Linked DNA regions of Danio rerio. The main gene of each other region encodes a partner of the protein of the gene in region 2 in a complex. Links are inferred from orthologs where the notes say so. Each region holds a gene or a part of one and is shown on either strand. Other genes may lie near its edges. The genes, in order: polh and rev1.

What was found.
Region 1: the proteins of rev1 (region 2) and polh are in contact, whole or in part, in an NMR structure (PDB 2LSK), measured with the Homo sapiens proteins. The link is inferred for Danio rerio from reciprocal best matches to the Homo sapiens genes REV1 and POLH. Residues at the interface, in NP_057400.1 of Homo sapiens: Asn1158, Leu1159, Ala1160, Gly1161, Leu1171, Leu1172, Trp1175, Ile1179, Asp1181, Pro1182, Met1183, Glu1185, Asp1186, Gln1189, Val1190; in NP_006493.1 of Homo sapiens: Thr528, Glu529, Pro530, Phe531, Phe532, Lys533, Lys535, Ser536, Leu539.

The regions. Positions count from the first base shown.
Region 1 is NC_133188.1:715,231-724,641, reverse strand, and holds part of polh (DNA polymerase eta), read left to right. Parts: intron 1-922; coding exon 923-1,057; intron 1,058-2,024; coding exon 2,025-2,236; intron 2,237-2,932; coding exon 2,933-3,105; intron 3,106-5,117; coding exon 5,118-5,221; intron 5,222-5,408; coding exon 5,409-5,528; exon of another isoform or gene 5,529-6,371; intron 6,372-6,376; coding exon 6,377-6,500; intron 6,501-6,656; exon of another isoform or gene 6,657-6,927; coding exon 6,928-6,993; intron 6,994-7,804; coding exon 7,805-7,977; intron 7,978-8,772; coding exon 8,773-9,411. UniProt on the Homo sapiens protein: DNA polymerase specifically involved in the DNA repair by translesion synthesis (TLS). Due to low processivity on both damaged and normal DNA, cooperates with the heterotetrameric (REV3L, REV7, POLD2 and POLD3) POLZ complex for complete bypass of DNA lesions.
Region 2 is NC_133184.1:23,411,852-23,421,262, reverse strand, and holds part of rev1 (DNA repair protein REV1), read right to left. Parts: coding exon 9,360-9,411; intron 6,364-9,359; coding exon 6,231-6,363; intron 5,639-6,230; exon of another isoform or gene 5,605-5,638; coding exon of another isoform or gene 5,598-5,604; intron 2,667-5,597; coding exon 2,498-2,666; intron 2,422-2,497; coding exon 2,188-2,421; intron 581-2,187; coding exon 1-580. UniProt on the Homo sapiens protein: Deoxycytidyl transferase involved in DNA repair. Transfers a dCMP residue from dCTP to the 3'-end of a DNA primer in a template-dependent reaction.

The DNA.
Region 1 (9,411 bases), on a different chromosome or scaffold from region 2:
CTATTTCAGACCAAATATTAAGTTTAGCGTTTCACAAGTTGTCACTGTTCAGAAATGAGCAAATGTGTTAACATATAACCAGCTTTACTTCGTTATCACAAAATACATTCATTAAAAAGTAATTTGTAATGTATTCTGTCAAGTTAAGTACCGTCCTACATCACTAATATACTATAGCAATTTTTAACTATGCTTTAGTAAAGTGTATTATACTGTATATTAGAGCATTTAAAATACTCAATTAATGCTTCAGCATATTAAACCAACTTCACCCCAATAGAAAACTGACAGAAAAACTGCTCAGAAATGAGCAAAACAGCACAGATATAAGCAGAAATATACATTATAATCAGAGCTGGGAGCTTTATTTCACTACAGATTTCAAATACATGATTTAAAAAGACATGTGTAATGCATTTTATTAGTTTAGTAATGTTACCGACCTACATTACAAATATACTATAGTAATCTTTATTGGGGTAAAGTTGGTTTTATATTTGCACATTCATTCAGTGACGACTCCTGACACCCTCCCTGTATAGTTTACCATGGTATTTTGAATATTGGGTGTGAAACAGCATGTAAGTATGAGTAAAAACAACATCAGCACTATTTACTGACTGTGATCAGTGTTGTATTTTGATAGCCACCGGCTGATAATGTGATAATGAGGTAAACATTGGCTTTATATTCACACATTCAGAATATATTCAGTGAATATCAAAGCACAACATTGTTTAGTCAGTTAATAATAATAATAATAAATAGTGCTGATGTTGTTTTGAATTTCAGACCCAACATTTAAAGTAGCCGTAAACACTATAGAGAGCATTAAAATGAACACTTGTGTGAAAATAAAGCCAACTGGACCTCAGTCTTCCTCAGAGGATCTGTGTTAAAGTGCTGTGATTACTGTGTCCAGCATTATAGCGGTGAGTTACGAGGCCAGAGCTCATGGAGTCGGCAGGAACATGTTCGCGGATGATGCCAGAAAGCTGTGTCCAGATCTGCAGGTGGCTCGGGTCCCAGAGGCTCACGGGAAGGCGGATCTCACACAGTAAGAGCTGTTTATTCTCAGAGCCACTTCAACAGTTATTACTTTCTAATTACAATTTAGATGAAGATTAAATGTCAAAGAATTTATTGCGATTAATTGCAATGAATAGTCCCATACAGAACTCCATGTCAGATATAAGACATATTAATTATGTCTATTTGTGTTTCTAATAATTAAAAGCGCACAGTGCTCAGCATAAATGAGCACACCTCCTTTGAAAAAAGCACATTTTTATTTTTATTTATCATTTTTTTCAATAAATATAGCCAATATGTTTTGGTGCATTTAAACTAAACAGTTTGATTAATCAGATACATGCATTAAATTAAGAGTTTGGTCACCGAATATCTTTAGGAATCCAAATAAAATACATTTAAATTGTGACTGGGATCCTGTTTATGAATCTTTTATTTAATATTTATCATTTATTCATTTTCCTTCGGCTTAGTCCCCTTATTCATCAGGGGTCTCCACAGCGGAATGAACCACCAACTATCCCTGCATATTGTTTATGGAGCCCATGCCCTTCCAGCAGCAACCCACTTGGAAACACCTATACACACTTATTCGCACACACACACACACACACACACACACACACACACACACACACACACACACACACAAACACAAACACAAACAAACACAAACAAACACACACAAACACACAAACACACACACACAAACACACTCACACACACACACTCATACACTCATACACTATGGCCACATTAATTCATCAGTTCCCCTATAGTGTTTGGACTGTGGGGGAAACCGGAGCACCCAGAGGAAGCCCACGCCAACACTTGGAGAACATGCAAACTCCACACAGAAACTCCAACTGACCCAGCTGGGACTCGAACCAGTGACCTTAGTGCTAACCACTGTGCCACCCCTATTTAATATGTATCCCTAACATAGTATTTTTTGGACCTTGTGTTTGTGTGCGCGTGTGTGTGTGTTTCAGCTACAGGGAGGCGAGTGTGGAGGTGATCGAGGTGATGTCCCGCTTCGCTGTGATCGAGAGAGCCAGCATTGACGAGGCCTATATGGACCTGACGGCCAGCGTTCAGGAGCGCCTGAAGAACACCAGTGTGCAGGACATCACGGCGCAGCAGCTGAAGAACACACACATTCAGGGTTTCCCTACACAGCAGGAGAACACACACCTGGACAGAGGTCAGCCCTGTTCTCACCTGGTATTAAAGAGACAGTTCACCCAAAAATGTAAACACAGGGTCAGTTTTACCCTTCACTATTGTTGGTACACTATATAGAGTTCGCCAAAGGGTCCAGATGGTCTAGTATTTCTGGTAGAAATGTGAAGTGTAGAGATGTCCCTACTCTAACTGCTAATATTGCCCACCATTAGGGATGTAACGCTATTGTAAATACCGTCATTTTGATACCGTTACGTCCCCACCCTCCATGTGAATTCAATTAGAACTACAAATTCAGGGGAAAAGTGTAAACAAACTACAAAAATGGCGGATGCTCGAGACCAACTGTCCAGTAGAGAGTAAACCAGGGGTGTCCAGACTCGGTTCTGGAGGGCCGGTGTCCTGCGAAATTTAGTTCCAACCCCAATCAGACACACCTGGGCTAGCTCTTACTAGGCTTTCTAGAAACATCCGTGCAGGTGTGTTGAGGCAAGTTGGAGCTAAAATCTGCAGGACACCGGCCCTCCAGGACCGAGATTGGACACCCCTGGAGTAAACCTATAGAGAGGCTTCAAGAGATGTTTGAATGACTTAATTAAGATCTAGTCAAGTGGAAAATCTTTAAATCTTGTTTTCTGTGTAATGTAATGGTACTTTTACTTGAGTGAGCTGTTTCCTCATCCTCTTCCCACCGCTGTGTGTTGTGTTTGTGCAGATGCGCAGCGGGCCGCAGGTCTGCAGCAGTGGCTGGATCTTCTGTCCTCCAGCACTGAATCTTCACCTGCGGATCTGCGTCTGGCCGTCGGGGCTCTGATAGTGGAGCAGATGAGGGCTGCTGTGGAGGAACACACCGGGTTTCGCTGCTCCGCCGGTATCTCACACAACAAGGTGGATATAAGAGAATTTCTACGTCTCTTTCTACATTTACAGTTAGCGGGTGTTCAGTCGTGGTCATGAAGCGCAAAATAAGCTATATAAACCCAAACCCAGCATGATTCCCTTATTGTATCAAGCTGTTTAAAATAATTGCAATTATGGCCTTTAATTGTCTGATACATACAGAAATCTAATACATGACTCAATATGAACATATACTGTATATCAAATTATATGTGCGTATTTGTTGTTGTAATTATTGCAAATGAACATGCAAACTCGGATTTGTTTGCAGCATTTTGAAATATGTGTGCATATATAACAGGGCTCGAAATTGCGACCATTTTGGTCGCATATGCGCCCGAAAATTAATCTATGCGACCTCATAGTATATTTGGGCGCATTAGTGCGACTGCTGATAATGGTTGTAGTGCGACCTGTTTTGATTTTTTTGTAAAAACGTGCTGAATCGCTCTTCCCTGCCGCTATATTGGTTCATATTAGCTGTCAATCCCTCAAGGTATTCCGCTGTCAGATGACAGGGAAGGAGCTTGATGACCACGGGAAATGCAAACGGCTGAAGAGTAAAAACTTAAAGCACACAGGTTTGCAAACCCCACCTAAAGTTGAGGCGCAGATGAGAGCGATCATGACACGTCACGTGGTGAATAATGATCCGCTAGCTGAGATCAATCGATTACGCGCTTCTTGGAGAAGGCGCCCGAATCTCCATGCTTTGCATTCACTGCGTGTTCAGCGCAAATGTCCGCTAAAAGTCAAATCTAATACTGTTCATATCATCGCCAAAGAAGCTCGCCTTTACTAAGTTTACACTGAAACTGCGTCTCATAACAAAGAGCGGTATTGCGCCGATGGTTAGTCTAGATGGTTAGATCTAGTCTCATATTATTTACTGTCATCATGACATCTAAATATTCTTCAAGACACTTCTATACAGCTTAAAGTGACATGTAAAGGCTTCACTAGGGTAATTAGGGTAACTAGGCAAGTCATTGTATAATGATGGTTTGTTCTGTAGACGATCTAGAAAAAATATAGCTTACAGGGGATAATAATATTGAGTTGAAAATGGTGTTTAAAAAAATAAAAATGCTTTTACTCTAGCTGAAATGAAACAAATAAAACTTTCTGCAGAAGAAAAAATATTATCAGACATACTGTGAACATTTCCTTGCTCTGTTAAACATCATTTGGGAAATATTAAAAAACAAAAAAAATGCAATGGTGAGCTAATAATTCTGACCTCAACTGTATATGTGTGTGTGTGTGTGTGTGTGTGTGTGTGTGTGTGTGTGTTTAAAATGCAAACATCAATCCACACCTGCATGATAAATATGTAATTTACAAATTTCATTATCTCATTTGTCATCCTTTTAATTACTAAGGAATTTTTACAACTTTTTAAGATTAATTGACTTGTATTGAGAATATAAGTTGACACTTTGCACCTTGAAATATGAAAGTAATTTATTGCATTCTCTATATGTTAAAAACAATCACAACAAACTGGCCACACACACACACGTTTGTTTTTGTACTGTTTTATACTGTTCAAACCGTATATTGTATTGCCCTCACCCCACCCCACCCCTAATCATCACAGGAGTCAGTGTGCAGCTTTACTCTCTGATTAAACTCATCCTGTGTGATTTATAAGCTTTTTGAGTAATGAGGACGTCACCAATGTCCCCATATTTCACCTGCTTTTTGTAATACCTGTGTCATACCCATGTCATTATACAGATTTGTGTCCTGATATGTCACAAAAACACACACACATAAACACACACACAGAAATTCTGCTAAAGTTGAAACCGTTGGCTAGTATCTGTTGCTTCATTCTCCACAGTGATTTGTTGACGTCGCTGCCTGCTGTTTGACATGTTTATACTACATTTATTCCCAGTTATAATCAGTCTCTCCATCTTAAATGTGAAGACTGATGAACTGTATGTTGGTTTTTGTTTTCATTGAACTCTAATGTTTCTGGGTTTGTCTCTCAGGTGTTGGCCAAGCTGGCATGCGGACTAAACAAACCCAATCGCCAAACCGTGTTGCCGCTGAGCTCCGTTCCTCAACTCTTCAGCACTCTTCCCATCAGCAAAATGTAAGTGATCGCTAATCATGTCAGTAAAATTCCTCTTCGAATGACTTCAGTGACTTGAACAGTACTGCCTCGCTTTATTTCTCAGTGAATAAGTATTTAATTATAGTCAGTGGTTTTAGATAAGCACACCCAGCACTGCCTGTACCTCATGAACACGTGTGTTTCCACATGTGTATGTTGTGCTCAGTCGTAATCTGGGAGGGAAGCTGGGCTCGTCCATCACGGAGACTCTGAGTGTGGAGAACATGGGAGATCTGACCCGGTTCAGCAGAGCCCAGCTGGAGCAGCACTTCGGGGACAAGACCGGGTGAGCAAACACACACGGAGAGAAGATAAATAAAGCCATGTACAGATCTGAAATCAGCTGATATTCATTCAGACACTCATCATATGCAGCTTTATCATGGACTTAATGAGTTTGACAACTTGAACTGGACAGAATATTCAATTAAGCAGGCGAGGTTATTTCTGCTGCAGGTTTCACACACACACATGACTGACTCAAAGTGCTTTACAAGAAAAAGAAGATCAAATACACGTGTAGATCAGAACAACAGAATAAACATCATTAAACTTGATGAAGCAGATTTAAAAGGAAAACAGAAGAAAAAAAAGACATTAGTGAATCATGTGTGTGTGTTTCTGTGTGTGTGTGTGTGCGTGCGTGTGTGTGTGTGTGTGTGTGTGTTGTGTGTGTGTGTGTGCGTGCGTGTGTGTGTGTGCGTGCGTGTGTGTGTGTGTGTGTGTGTTGTGTGTGTGTGTGTGTGCGCGTGTTTGTGTGTGTCTGTCTGTGTGTATGTGTGCGTGCATGCATGCGTGTTTGTGTGCGTGTGTGTGTGCGTGCGTGTTTGTGTGTGTGCGTGCGTGTGTGCGTGCGTGTCTGTGTTTCTGTGTGTGTGTGCGTGCGTGTGTGTCTCTGTATGTGTATGTGTGCGTGAGTGTGTGTGTGTCTCTGTATGTGTGTGTGTGTTCGTGCGTTTGTGCGTGCATGTCTGTGTGTGTGTCTGTGTGTTTCTGTGTGTGTGTGTGTGTGTGCGTGCGTGTGTGTGTCTCTGTATGTGTGCGTGCGTGCGCGCGTGTGTGTGTGTGTGTGTGTGTGTGTGTGTGTGTGTGTGTGTGTGGTGCCTGTGTGTGTGTGTGTGTGTGTGTTGTCAGGCCGTGGCTCTATGATCTGTGTCGAGGGATTGAGTTTGAGCCGGTGAAGCCTCGTCAGCTGCCCAAATCCATCGGCTGCAGCAAGAACTTCGCTGGGAAAACCTGCCTGCGCACAAAACAACAGGTGGAGGGAGAGAGAGTGTGTGTGTGTGTGTGTGTGTGTGTGTGTGTGTGAGAGAGAAAGAGAGAGAAATGCAATTGTGTGTGTGTGTATTTGTTTGTGTGTGTATGCACATGAGAGTGTGTGTTTGGTTGTTCATGTATCCGAGTTGTTTCTGAGTGTGTGCAATTGATTGTTTGTATATATTTAATGTTTGTGTGAATGTGCAATTGTGTGTGTGTGTGTGTGCGTATTTGATTGTGTTGTTTGTCTGTGTGTATGTGTTGTGTGTGTTTTTTGTGTGTGTGTTTGGTTGAGTTGTTTGTATATATATATATATATATATATTTATGTTTGTGTGAATTTGTATTTGTGTGTTGTGTGTGTGTGTGTGTGTGTGTGTGTGTGTGTGTCTGTGTGTGCACATACTGACGCTCTGTTCTCTCTGCAGGTTCAGTACTGGCTCCATCAGCTGGCTCTAGAGTTAGAGGAGAGACTCAATAAAGACAGAGATGTGGTGAGTACACACACACACACACACTGCTGCGTCTCACATTCATATTTAAATCCTTCATCAATCAATCAGTATATTACTGTGTATATTGATAATGTATATATAAACACAAACACACGCATGCAGATATTGAGAGAATGTTTATTTGTGTTTCGATATAAAATATTTATGTATTTGAAACAAATTGCATGTAAGTTGAAATATCTGTGTAAAAAAAGGTTTTGTTACACACACACACACACACACACACACACACACACACACACACACACACACACACACACACACATATATAATGGCAAAACAAACTTTTGATTTTGGATGCAATTAATCCTGATAAATCCAGCACTAATAGCTTAGTCCCTTTATTAATCAGAGATCGCCACAGCGGAATGAACCGCCAACTTTATCCAGCATATGTTTTATGCAGTGGATGTCCTTCCAGCTGCAACCCAGTACTGGGAAACAGCCATACACTATGACCACTTTAGTTGATCAGTTCCCCTATAGCGCATGTGTTTGGACTGTGGGGGAAACCGGAGCACCCGGAGGAAACCCACGACAACACAGGGAGAACATGCAAACTCCACACAGAAACACCAACTGACCCAGTCGGGACTCAAACCAGAGACCTTCTTGCTGTGAGGCGATCATGCTAACCACTGCGCCACTGTGACACCCTAATGTGGGATAATGTGTGATCTTTGATGTCTCCATATACATAACTCATGATGTTCAATAGGGTGTACAAACATTTTCACAAGACTGCATGCGTCACCTCAGGTGTGTGTGTGTGTGTGTGTGTTTTCTCCAGAACGGTCGAGTGGCCCGGCAGCTGACGGTGGGTGTGCGTCAGGCTGGAGGTCAGAGGTCAGGCAGTTTCTCGCGCTGCTGTGCTCTCGTGCGCTATGATGCGATGAAGATGACCAACGACAGCCTGACCATCATCAAGAGCCTGAACACTGCTGGAGCACACCAGGAGGCCTGGTGAGGAACACACACACACACACACACACACTTCTGCTTTCACTCACGCGTGTGCACACACACTTTCTCACAAACACAGACACTCATGCGCACTAACACACACACTCACTTGCTCACACACACACACACACACACACATACAAACAAACATGCTCAAACACACTCACACACACGCTTAAACACACTCACACACATTTGCTTAAACACACACACATACAAACAAACACTTGCACCCGCGCACACACTCACACACACACACATACTCTCACTCACTCACTCATTTGCTCACACACAAACATGCTCACACACTTGCTCAAACACACTCATGCACACTTGCGTGCACACACGCACTCACACACACAAACACGCACTCACACACACAAACATGCTCACACACACACACAAATACACACATACACACACAAACATGCTCTCTCTCTCACACACACACACACACACAAACACAAACATGCTCTCACACACACACAAATACACACAAACACAAACATGCTCACACACACACACACACAAATACACACATACACACACAAACACAAACATGCTCTCTCACACACACACACACAATTGCACACACACACAAATACACTCACACACAAACACACACACACAAACATGCTTTCACACACACACACACACACACACACACAAACATGCTTACTGACACACACACACACACACACACACAAACATGCTCACTCGAACACACACAAAGCTTGAACAACCCAAGTGAAGTTGCAGATGTGTCGAGTGTAATCCAGGCTTGCGTCTCCTCAGGTCTCCAGCGCTGACTCTTCTCCATCTGTCCGCCAGTAAGTTCAGCGACGCTCCCTCATCCTCATCTGCAGGAATAACCGGCTTCCTGAGCAGCGACGCGGCTTCATCTCCATCACAGAGCTCCAGCAGCCAGCGGAGCCCGATGGAGAGACCAGCGCAGAAGAGGAAACGACAGCAGGACCAGCGCCAGCGCGAGAACACCACTAGTATATCCGCATTCTTCCAGAGGAAGAGCCTGGAGAAACAGGAGATCCAGAACTCTCTCTGCCCTGGAGATCAGAGCACGAGTGCTTCAGGAGAACATGCATGCGGAGATACAGCCGCTCAGAAAACCACAGCAATCTCCACATTCCTCCAGAGAGAGAGCCTGGAGAAACAGGAGATCCAGAACGTCAGCCTCGATGATGAAGACCAGAGCGTTTGTGCTCCAGAAGAAAACACATGCAGGGAGAAACCTGCAGGAATCTCCACGTCCCTCCAGATGAAGAGTCTGGAGAAACACCAGATCCAGAACTCTCTCTGTGTTGGAGATCAGAGCGTTCGGGCTCCAGGAGAAAACCCACCCAGAGAGCAAACCTCTGATGAAAGCCCTGCAGGAATCTCCTCGTTCTTCCAGATGAAGAGTCTGGAGAAGCACAG
Region 2 (9,411 bases):
AATGTGATGCAGCCTTGAGTGAGAAAAGAACTCGGATATTATTCCAGCCTCTGCAGAGGATTTTCCTGACTGGTTACTAGAGTTTGCCAGAGTGGAGGAGTTTGAGGTCACGTGATAACTCCCATTTAGCCGGACTGTGGTCTGATCATGCAGACTGGCCTTCTGAGGAGCACCTAAAGTTCCTGAATTGGATGTTGGTTTTTGATGGAGGTCCGTTTGCATATTGTGAGGACCAGGCTGCTTTGCAGGACTGGCTGCTGATATTAAGGACCTCAGATGGGAATTAGCTTTTGATTCAGTATATGAGCAGCAGGGCTCCTCACCCTCCCTGTATTTGTCCTGTGGGAGGTGAGACTGATTGGACGCTTTGTCAACAACATGAGGATGATGGTCTGCAAAGTCCTGAGGCTTTAAGGCACCATTCACAGGGTGTACATGACCGTTAGTTAACAAAGTGTCTTGTGAGCCTCTTGGCAAAATGGAACAGGCGATGTCATCATCATCATCATCATCATGAATCCCATTGACTCTCGATTTCTCTGCATCTACCTCAGAGATAATGCTATGCAAACCATTTCTGCTGGACAAATAAAAGAGAAAGAATTATTTGAATAGAAATTGTTAATATATAATCTGCCATTATTGATCTAATTACATAACATTGCTCAGATAAATGTGTTTCAGTAGACCAGTAGTTTTTTTTTTTTTCAGAAAAAAAAAAAAAAAAAAAAAATTATATATATATATATATATATATATATATATATATATATATATATATATATATATATATATATATATATATATATATATATATATATACTGTAGGACATGCATAATCTCTCAGACAAAAAGAGATACTGATCTTGCATATGCTGTCTTCCAACTATACACAGAAAAATATGGAAGGCTACAAGTCATCCAATAGATTACCCTAAAGGGCAACTATTTTAGCCTGGAGTATTTTGTGTCCCTAGAAGGTGTCTGTAAAGTTTCTGTTTGAAATTGAAGTTTGTTTGAAGATTTTTTTTTATTATACCTCTTTAAATCTGGGAAATCTGAGCTGTTAATGCATTGTAGCTGTTTTTGTTGCCTGTGCGTTTAATGCAAATGAGCTAGTTCTCCCCGCCCACCATTCCCACATGCATGTCAGAGCCACAGAGATCACTCCGATCCATGTAGCCTTAGATCAGTAGATCAGGGGTGCCCAAACTCGGTCCTGGAGGGCCGGTGTCCTGCATATTTTAGTTCCAACCGCAGTTAAAAACACCTGAACCAGCTAATCAAGCACTTAATAGGTATACTAGAAACTTCCAGGCAGATGTGTTGAAGTTGGGCCTAAACTATGCAGGACACCGGCCCTTCGTAGCCCTGACGTAGATAAACAGCACAGTGACAGACAAGAATGAAACAGATCTCCCTTACTGTTAATAGAAACAGTCCCAACTGTTAATTGATATATTTGTTGTGGAGTTAATTCAAGCCTTTCTGCAATGATGAGTCACACACAATGTTGTGTGAGCGCACACACGTTTTGTTTTGCACTGTTTTGTACGACAAATGTGACAGAAAACACATTAACATACACTGGTGTATGGATATCCGTTATGTGAATGTACAAAATAAACCTGACTCAAGTCTAATATAATCCATCTATTTACTTCAAATTAAGGAAAATTCTTCTGTCTGTACTTTGAAACATGACTTTTTTTCTGAATAGAAAGTTACATGCAGAGTCGTACATTTTCTTTATTAGGTAAAAAAAAGCGTGCTATAAAAAAAAATTCAAGGACAAAATAATTCACTTTTGATGTGGCCATAATAACAATTTTGTGCACATTCATTACTGCAGTATAATGTATTACTTGAATATGTGCACATTCTAATTCAGAATTTTCTCATTTTCAAAAATGTTTTTTTTTTGATAGAAACTTTCACATTTTTCATATCAGAGTAATAGACTTTCTGTTATAAATACTTATTTAACCGGTTAAATAGTTATATAACAAATGGAAAAGTAAATTAAACTGTTAATTAATAATTTGCGCTTTTTATAAATCTAATTATTTTTACATAAGTCTTGCATGAAAACAGAGGAAATCTAAATGTAAAAACTGGGAAAATAAAGGTGTTGAAATTTCCACCAATCCGTTTATTAAAAAACACCTTAGGATAAGGCACACTCACAGCCTGATATCCAGCTGGTGATCGGTTTTCTCAGTGTAGTTAGCCATGTGGTTAGCCTGAGTAGACTTGAGGACGTCTTTAGATAGAGTATGGCTCGGCTGAGGCTTGATGTCTGGTCCATGGTTGGATGACGGGTCCTGGCCTTCTATTCCAGAAACTCTGGTGAAATTTAATCCTTTCTGCTTCGCATAGAGCTGATACTGAATATATGATAGTTGGCGACCTGCTTTTATACTGCACAAAATGCAAGAAAAAAAAACTATTAGTATTGTGCTTCTGCAAACTGCAAAGTGCACACAAAGGCACCCACCTGTCTATGATCCACTCTGGCCGCACTACTTTCTCTCCTTTGAGCTCTTGTATTTTGAAGTTGGGCAGGTTGGTGGCAATGATGTGCGTGGTTTTGGAGCGAGAGTAATACAGATGAAATTGCCCACCATGCAACATCATAAGCCTGCGTAACTCAGCCGCACTGGGATCTACACACACACAAATACAAAACAAATACACTCAAAATGCAAGAGCAGTGGCCCAGTGCTCATCCTTCTGACTCTTTCAGCTGCACAGTTCATTTTGGAGTTTCTTTTTTAAAATATCATATGAATAACAATTCTGAACACAGCTGTTTTGTATTATCAATTTATAAAATAAATATGGTTATTTAATGAAACCTAATTATATACAGTTGAAGTCAGAATTATTAGCCCCCTTTTGATTTTTTTTCTTTTTTTAATATTTCCCAAATGATGTTTAACAGAGCACGAAAACTTTCACAGTATGTCTGATAATATTTTTTTCTTTTGGAGAAAGTCTTATTTGTTTTATTTCGGCTAGAATAAAAGCAGTTTTTAATTTTTTAAAAAACAATTTTGGGACAAAATTATTAGCCCCTTTAAGCTATTTTTTTTTGATAGTCTACAGAACAAACCATCGTTATACAATAACTTGCCTAATTACCCTAACCTACCTAGTTCACCTTATTAACCTAGTTAAGCCTTTAAATGTCACTTTAAGCTGTAAAGAAGTGTCTTGAAAAATATCAAGTAAAATATTATTTACTGTCATCATGACAAAGATTAAATAAATCAGTTATTAGAAATAGGTTTCTTAAACTATTATGCTTAGAAATGTGCTGAAACAATCCTCCCTCCATTAAACAGAAATTGGGGAAAAAAATAAACGGGGCGCTAATAAGTCAGGGGGCTAATAATTCTGACTTCAACAGTAAGTAAAAATAACCTTCTAAAAAGGAAATACAATAATTTTTGGAATATAAGCGGTTTATATTCCAAAGCAATTTATAGGGCCCTATTCACACCTGGTATTAAGATTCATTTTCTTCGATCTGATTATAAGTGGACAACGTTAAGTTCAGGTGTGAACAAGGTTTGAAACAGTTTGAACTTGTCCACTTTGACCATACTAATAGGTGGTCGAAAGCGAATTGCAGTTGTAGTGCAGACACAAATTTGGGTTAACGTGTTTGAACAGCCACAAAACACTGCCTTCTCTATGACTGTGATTCTTCTCTATGACTGTGATCTCATTCTTCAGTCTCATTTGAGACACAGTGGAGAGACTGTGATTTAAACTGTCATTGGTAATCTTAGAATTCATATTGGTGGCAATATGTTTAATTAATTTTTTTGGCAAAAATAAATACGAGGCAGCACGGTGGCTTAGTGGTTAGCACTGTAAAATCAAAGCAAGAAGGTCGCTGGTTCAAGTGCTGGCTGGGTCGGTTGGCATTTCTGTGTAGAGTTTGCATGTTCTCCCCGTGTTCGCGTGGGTTTTTTCTGGGTTTCCCCCACCGTCTAAAGACATGCAGTACAGGTAAATTGAATAAGCTAAATTGGCCGTAGTGTATGTGTGTGAATGTGAGAGTGTACTGGTGTTTCCCGGTACTGGGTTGCAGCTGGAAGGGCATCCGCTGTGTAAAACATGTGCTGGATAAGTTATCGGTAGATTTCACTGTGACAACCCCTGATGAATAAAGGGACTAAGCCAAAGGAAAACGAATGGATGAATGAAAAATAAATACATATTTGACTGCAAATTATTTTAAAATAGGCTACGGCTGCTTTCTCTTCAAACAGCAGCTTTCCTGCAGCGCCAACCAACAGGAGTTCTTTATAAGATACAATTTTGTGAATGTTTTATTTCATGTTTAAAGTCTTTAATGTGCCTTTACTAATAATATTCTATTCAAAGCAAAAATTCAGAGACTTTAGGTGATAGTGCATGTGTTGGATGTGTTAATGTGATTCCTGATCCTTTGCATATGCCTAATTATTTAAGTCAAAGATTTAATTTTTGATTTTAAATTGATATTTGTTAAACAAGTTTAATAAATACAAAAACATATAGACATTAAAACTAATTGGTTGATTGGAAATTAAATAAATCTATAATTATATCTATATATAAAGAAATTATATCTATAATTTAATTATTCGAGCCTTTGCATTAAGCATATTTACAGGTTATATACAGCATATTTTTTTTGCACAGCATAAAATTTGCACTAGCTTTGGCAGTATTAAGCCTCAATCACACTACGAGCGACTCGCAGCAGCACAGCAACAAACAGCCGTTCATTTCAACAGACAGTGAGCGGATTCCGGCGATCTCCATTTATGCAAGTGACAGCAACCGCTGGCGATCAGGTAGGCTTGTCGAGTGACGTGACAAAGTTGAGAATCTGTAAACTTTATGCAAATGAAGAGTGACTTTCTTGAGGGACGACAGCCAATAGGAGCACCAGTAGAGCTCATGTGATCCTCTCTCAGCTCCTGCAGAGGCGAGTTGTATTTTTTGGTGCTGTAGGCCTACATAGAACTGCGTATGCAGCAGGTCATCACCCAGAGCGACAGGCAGCTACAAAGTCACTGCCAGTGTGAAAGAGGCATTAGATTGAAAGTTCAAAGAAAAACAATACCTGCCCACAGACCCTCCATTATTAGAGGGTCAAAAATGGACAAAAGAAACCTTTAAATGCAGGGTCTGAATGGTAATGTTTGCTTTGACCACTTGTGATCACATCATGAAAATGTATCTTGATACCAGGTGTGAACAGGGTCTATAATGCAGTTTACATCAAGCAAGCAAACCATGCAAAAGCATGCAACATTTGAAGGCAAATGAGAGAGTCATGTGAGTATTTGTACCCACACACCCCTAGTTTCAGATTTGCTCAGGCTTGACATTAATAATAAATGTTGTCTATATGAAATGCTGGTATCACTTCTGATCATTTGATACAGAATTTATTTATGTTCTGTAGGTCGGTACCTAAAAAAATTGAAAAAAAAAAACTATACATTTAATTTGCTGGGTGTTCACACTCTCATTTTTAAGATAAAAACACTAACTACAAGTTTTTATGACATGTATTGTGCAGAATAACTTACGGAACATCCCAAACAATGCTGTGTGCTTGACCAGGAAGCCCCTGTGTCACACACACAAATGATAATCTGCTGCAAGGAGAAGCGTTTCTGACACCTTTATTGAACTGTACTGGGACATTTTGTGACTATAAAGAGAATAATCCGTTATGCTTGAGCATTATGTCCATTTCTTTGGTCACATTTTGTGACATCACATCTATTGTCCATATTTCAGACAAGCCACAATAGAATTCATTTAAAAGAAGGCCAAAACCAGTCTTCTCAGGGCTTTTTGTCCACTTGTTTGGTGTACACCAAGGTTTAGATGACTGCATTCAAGCATTTATAGGTTTGTTCAAAATAAACCTGGACACACCCTAAAATACAAGTTTAAAAAAATAGTGTACAAAATAACCCCTGAATAAAATTGTAAAAGTGAAATATGTACAAAAATCCTTTTATATATTTACTCTCTTAGACTTGACGCAATATCTATAGTCAGGTGCAACAAATCATCCAGATACTGCCATAATAATAGTAATGACGATGATTATGGTGATGCTGAACATGCACAATGCAGTACAAGGGATTTCATTGGAGTAAGAAAGTTTATTTCCACAGCACATTGCAGAGGGGATGCTGGGAGAGTCTGACCTGTGTATCCATTGACATAGATGGCCACACCGCTGAAGATGCAGGAGGACTTTCCATCTTTCTTCTGCTCTCTCGGGGCATCCTTCTGAAACTGCTCCTCAAGCTTAGAGACTTTTGCAGCCATGTAACCTCCCTGAGTAAAAATTCAACAAACAAGATTTTTATTTCAAAGCCTATTCACGTCAACACAGGCTTGCAAGCTCAAGAGCTAAGACAAAGCATACAGCACAAGCTGACCACACACACACGCACACACCTTAATAGAAAAAAAACCCACACAATTCTAACCTCTGGAAATGAACAGACTGCAATACAGGCACACACACAAAGGAAAATGTGCAGCGTCTGGCTGACAAGCGTTTGATTACGCCTCAGACATTCAATGAGACTGGAGGTGCAAGTCTGCCCTGCTGGCACGGCGACTCTCTGTCTCCATGGCAACGGAGGGAACGCTGGGATTCAAGAGTTGAGCTTGAACCAATAAACAGACTCTCACACACACTGAAAAATACTCCTGAAAACACTCACTTGCTGGAGGCATCCCTGAACCTAATTTATATCAATCAGAGAGATCAACACACACACACACACACACACACACACACACACACACACACACACACACACAACAACAACACACCTGAGAGACAACACTCTGAGAGATCAACACACACACACACACACACACACACACAACCTAAAGCAAATAAAGGTTTTGCGTAGACATATGCTGATGTCCAATAATGCCATACACTGTGATCATGAACGTGCACAATATATTGATGCTGTGGGTTTTTAAAATAATGTAAATAATTATTTAGAATTTCAACTTTCAGATTACCATTAAAGGATATTTATATTGTTGTATCTGCACTGCAGTGTACATCACAGCACCAAACGCTTCAAGCCTTAATAGACAATTTATGATCAGCTTCCATTCAACGTCAGCTAACCTAACTACAGTCAATGTAATGATATAAAAGCATTGATTAACCTTAGGCAAAGACTATAGAATACACAAGATGCGTCACTCGTATAGTTTTGAATGGAGAAAAGTGTTACAGTCAATATGGCGAATGAAGCCCCGCCTACTAGTACAGGAGCTAATCATCAAATCTCTATAGACTGACGTGTCTCCAGTATAAACGAATGTGAAGTACAGTCAGTCCTGTCAAACACACATCATGAGACAGCAATTACTCAAAGTGTAAACATAGAATCGATTTCACTACTGGAGAAGATTTGCTATCAAGACCAAGCTGTGGATTATTTCAGATGACCAGTGCGACTACATGATCATTATCCAGAGGACAACACTGTGTGATGTGTAACACTGCCGTAAATGAGGTTGGTGTTGTGATCTCATTCCTTTCGAGTTTGCATGCGCACTAGCTCTGGCAACTTGAAAATATGCAGATTTTGTTTAATTCAGACGTTTAGAAACGAAACTTATGAAACAACTGTTGTTTAATTTTACTGTTGACTCCAAATATGTAATATAATTATAAGCTTGGCAAACAATTTTGAAAAATTTGATGTTTCTCCATTCAGATGGAATGCTCGAAAATACAGCCCAAGAGGCGTTTCAAACAAGGCCGCTAAGTGAAATGACTTGCCTTAAAGGGACATTAACTTATTAGCGAACACCTAATAATGCATTAAAATCAAATGTAGTCATCTTTTTATTAAATGGAGTTATTAACTAGGGCTGCAAGGTGGCTCACTTTCAACTCATATTAAGAAGATGCCTGGTTCAAGTCCCAGCTGGAGTTTGCACACTCTCATTTCCCCCACAATCCAAAGACATGCGGTATAGTATAGGTAGATATGATTGGCCATAGCGTATGATTGGATGAATGAGCAAGCGTATGGCTTTTTTGGGCTGCTAAAACAACTAAATGAATGTAGTTTATCCTGCTTTTTAAATGCCTATTGCCATAAATGTCAAAATTAGACATTAAACATTTTCTGAGCCATAATAAATTAATAAAGATGAAGCTGATAGAAACAAAACCAGCTGAAAGGTGCATACACTGACCTAGTATGTACTATTAACTCACAAAATGCTGCCAAACCATCAAAAACAATAGCAGAGACAGACATGCAAATGATTCAGAAGCAATCGTATTAACTGACAGTCAGGATGATTCAAATACATGGATGAGCCTGTATTATTAGTTTCAGTGATTTTTTACCTCAGCTCAGAATGTTGAGATTGGCCAATCAAAATCAAGCATTCCAGACAGCAGTGCGATAACAGCTAATAAATTTCAGCTATATTTTTCTAAATTAACTTTAATATATAAAATGCATTTTTACAGTAGATTTTAATGCATTGATTAACATTTACTAATGGTACTTTTTTGTAAAGTATTACCTATTGTACCTATCTTCCATTTACAATTTAATTGGCTTAAAACATTCATTTATTCTGAACATGTATATAGACAATAAAGCAATCAAATATTTTGGTTATAATATATTTTTGCAGCTTAGGTCAATAATACTATACATCATCATAAAACCTTCAGCAATTAATTGCAACAAAAAATTATATTGTCAGAAGCCTATTTCTGTGTTTAATCACACTTACACAGTAAAATACATAGTACATTTACTTAAAAATCACACATTTCTGGTCTCAAATTGTGCGGTAAAACAGTTCTACTGGTTAGAACTAAGATTGTTATTTTATTAGTGAAGACAGAAGCTTGTGGAGTTGTTTATATTAGTGTGGTTCTGCTAATGCCTGAAGAACATGAAGATGCCGAAGCTTGTCAAATCTCTAGCTGGGTCTGGACTGTGGCGACTGAGCAGAGGTGCTGGTCAGCAGTGAAGAAAATTGAGATTACTCACTGGTGTAATACAAATGAAAATCTGTCTAGACTTCAGCAGCAACACACACACAAAGCATGATGGGTGATGTACAAACAGCAGAAAGGCAATTAATAGTTAAAAGGAAATCTATGGATAAGTTCTATTATTTACATAATGTTCAGTTTTTACAAAGACAGATAGCAAAGACAACACGGGATATATACGAAGACGATTCAGCTCTGAGATAAAACAGCTGTTGAGCCTTTCCTGCTCTCAATAAACACATTTCTGCGTAAATAACTAAACTCTTACCTGTCCTCCCCACCCATCATTTTCACTGGCTTTCTTCCTCCATCCATCTCGA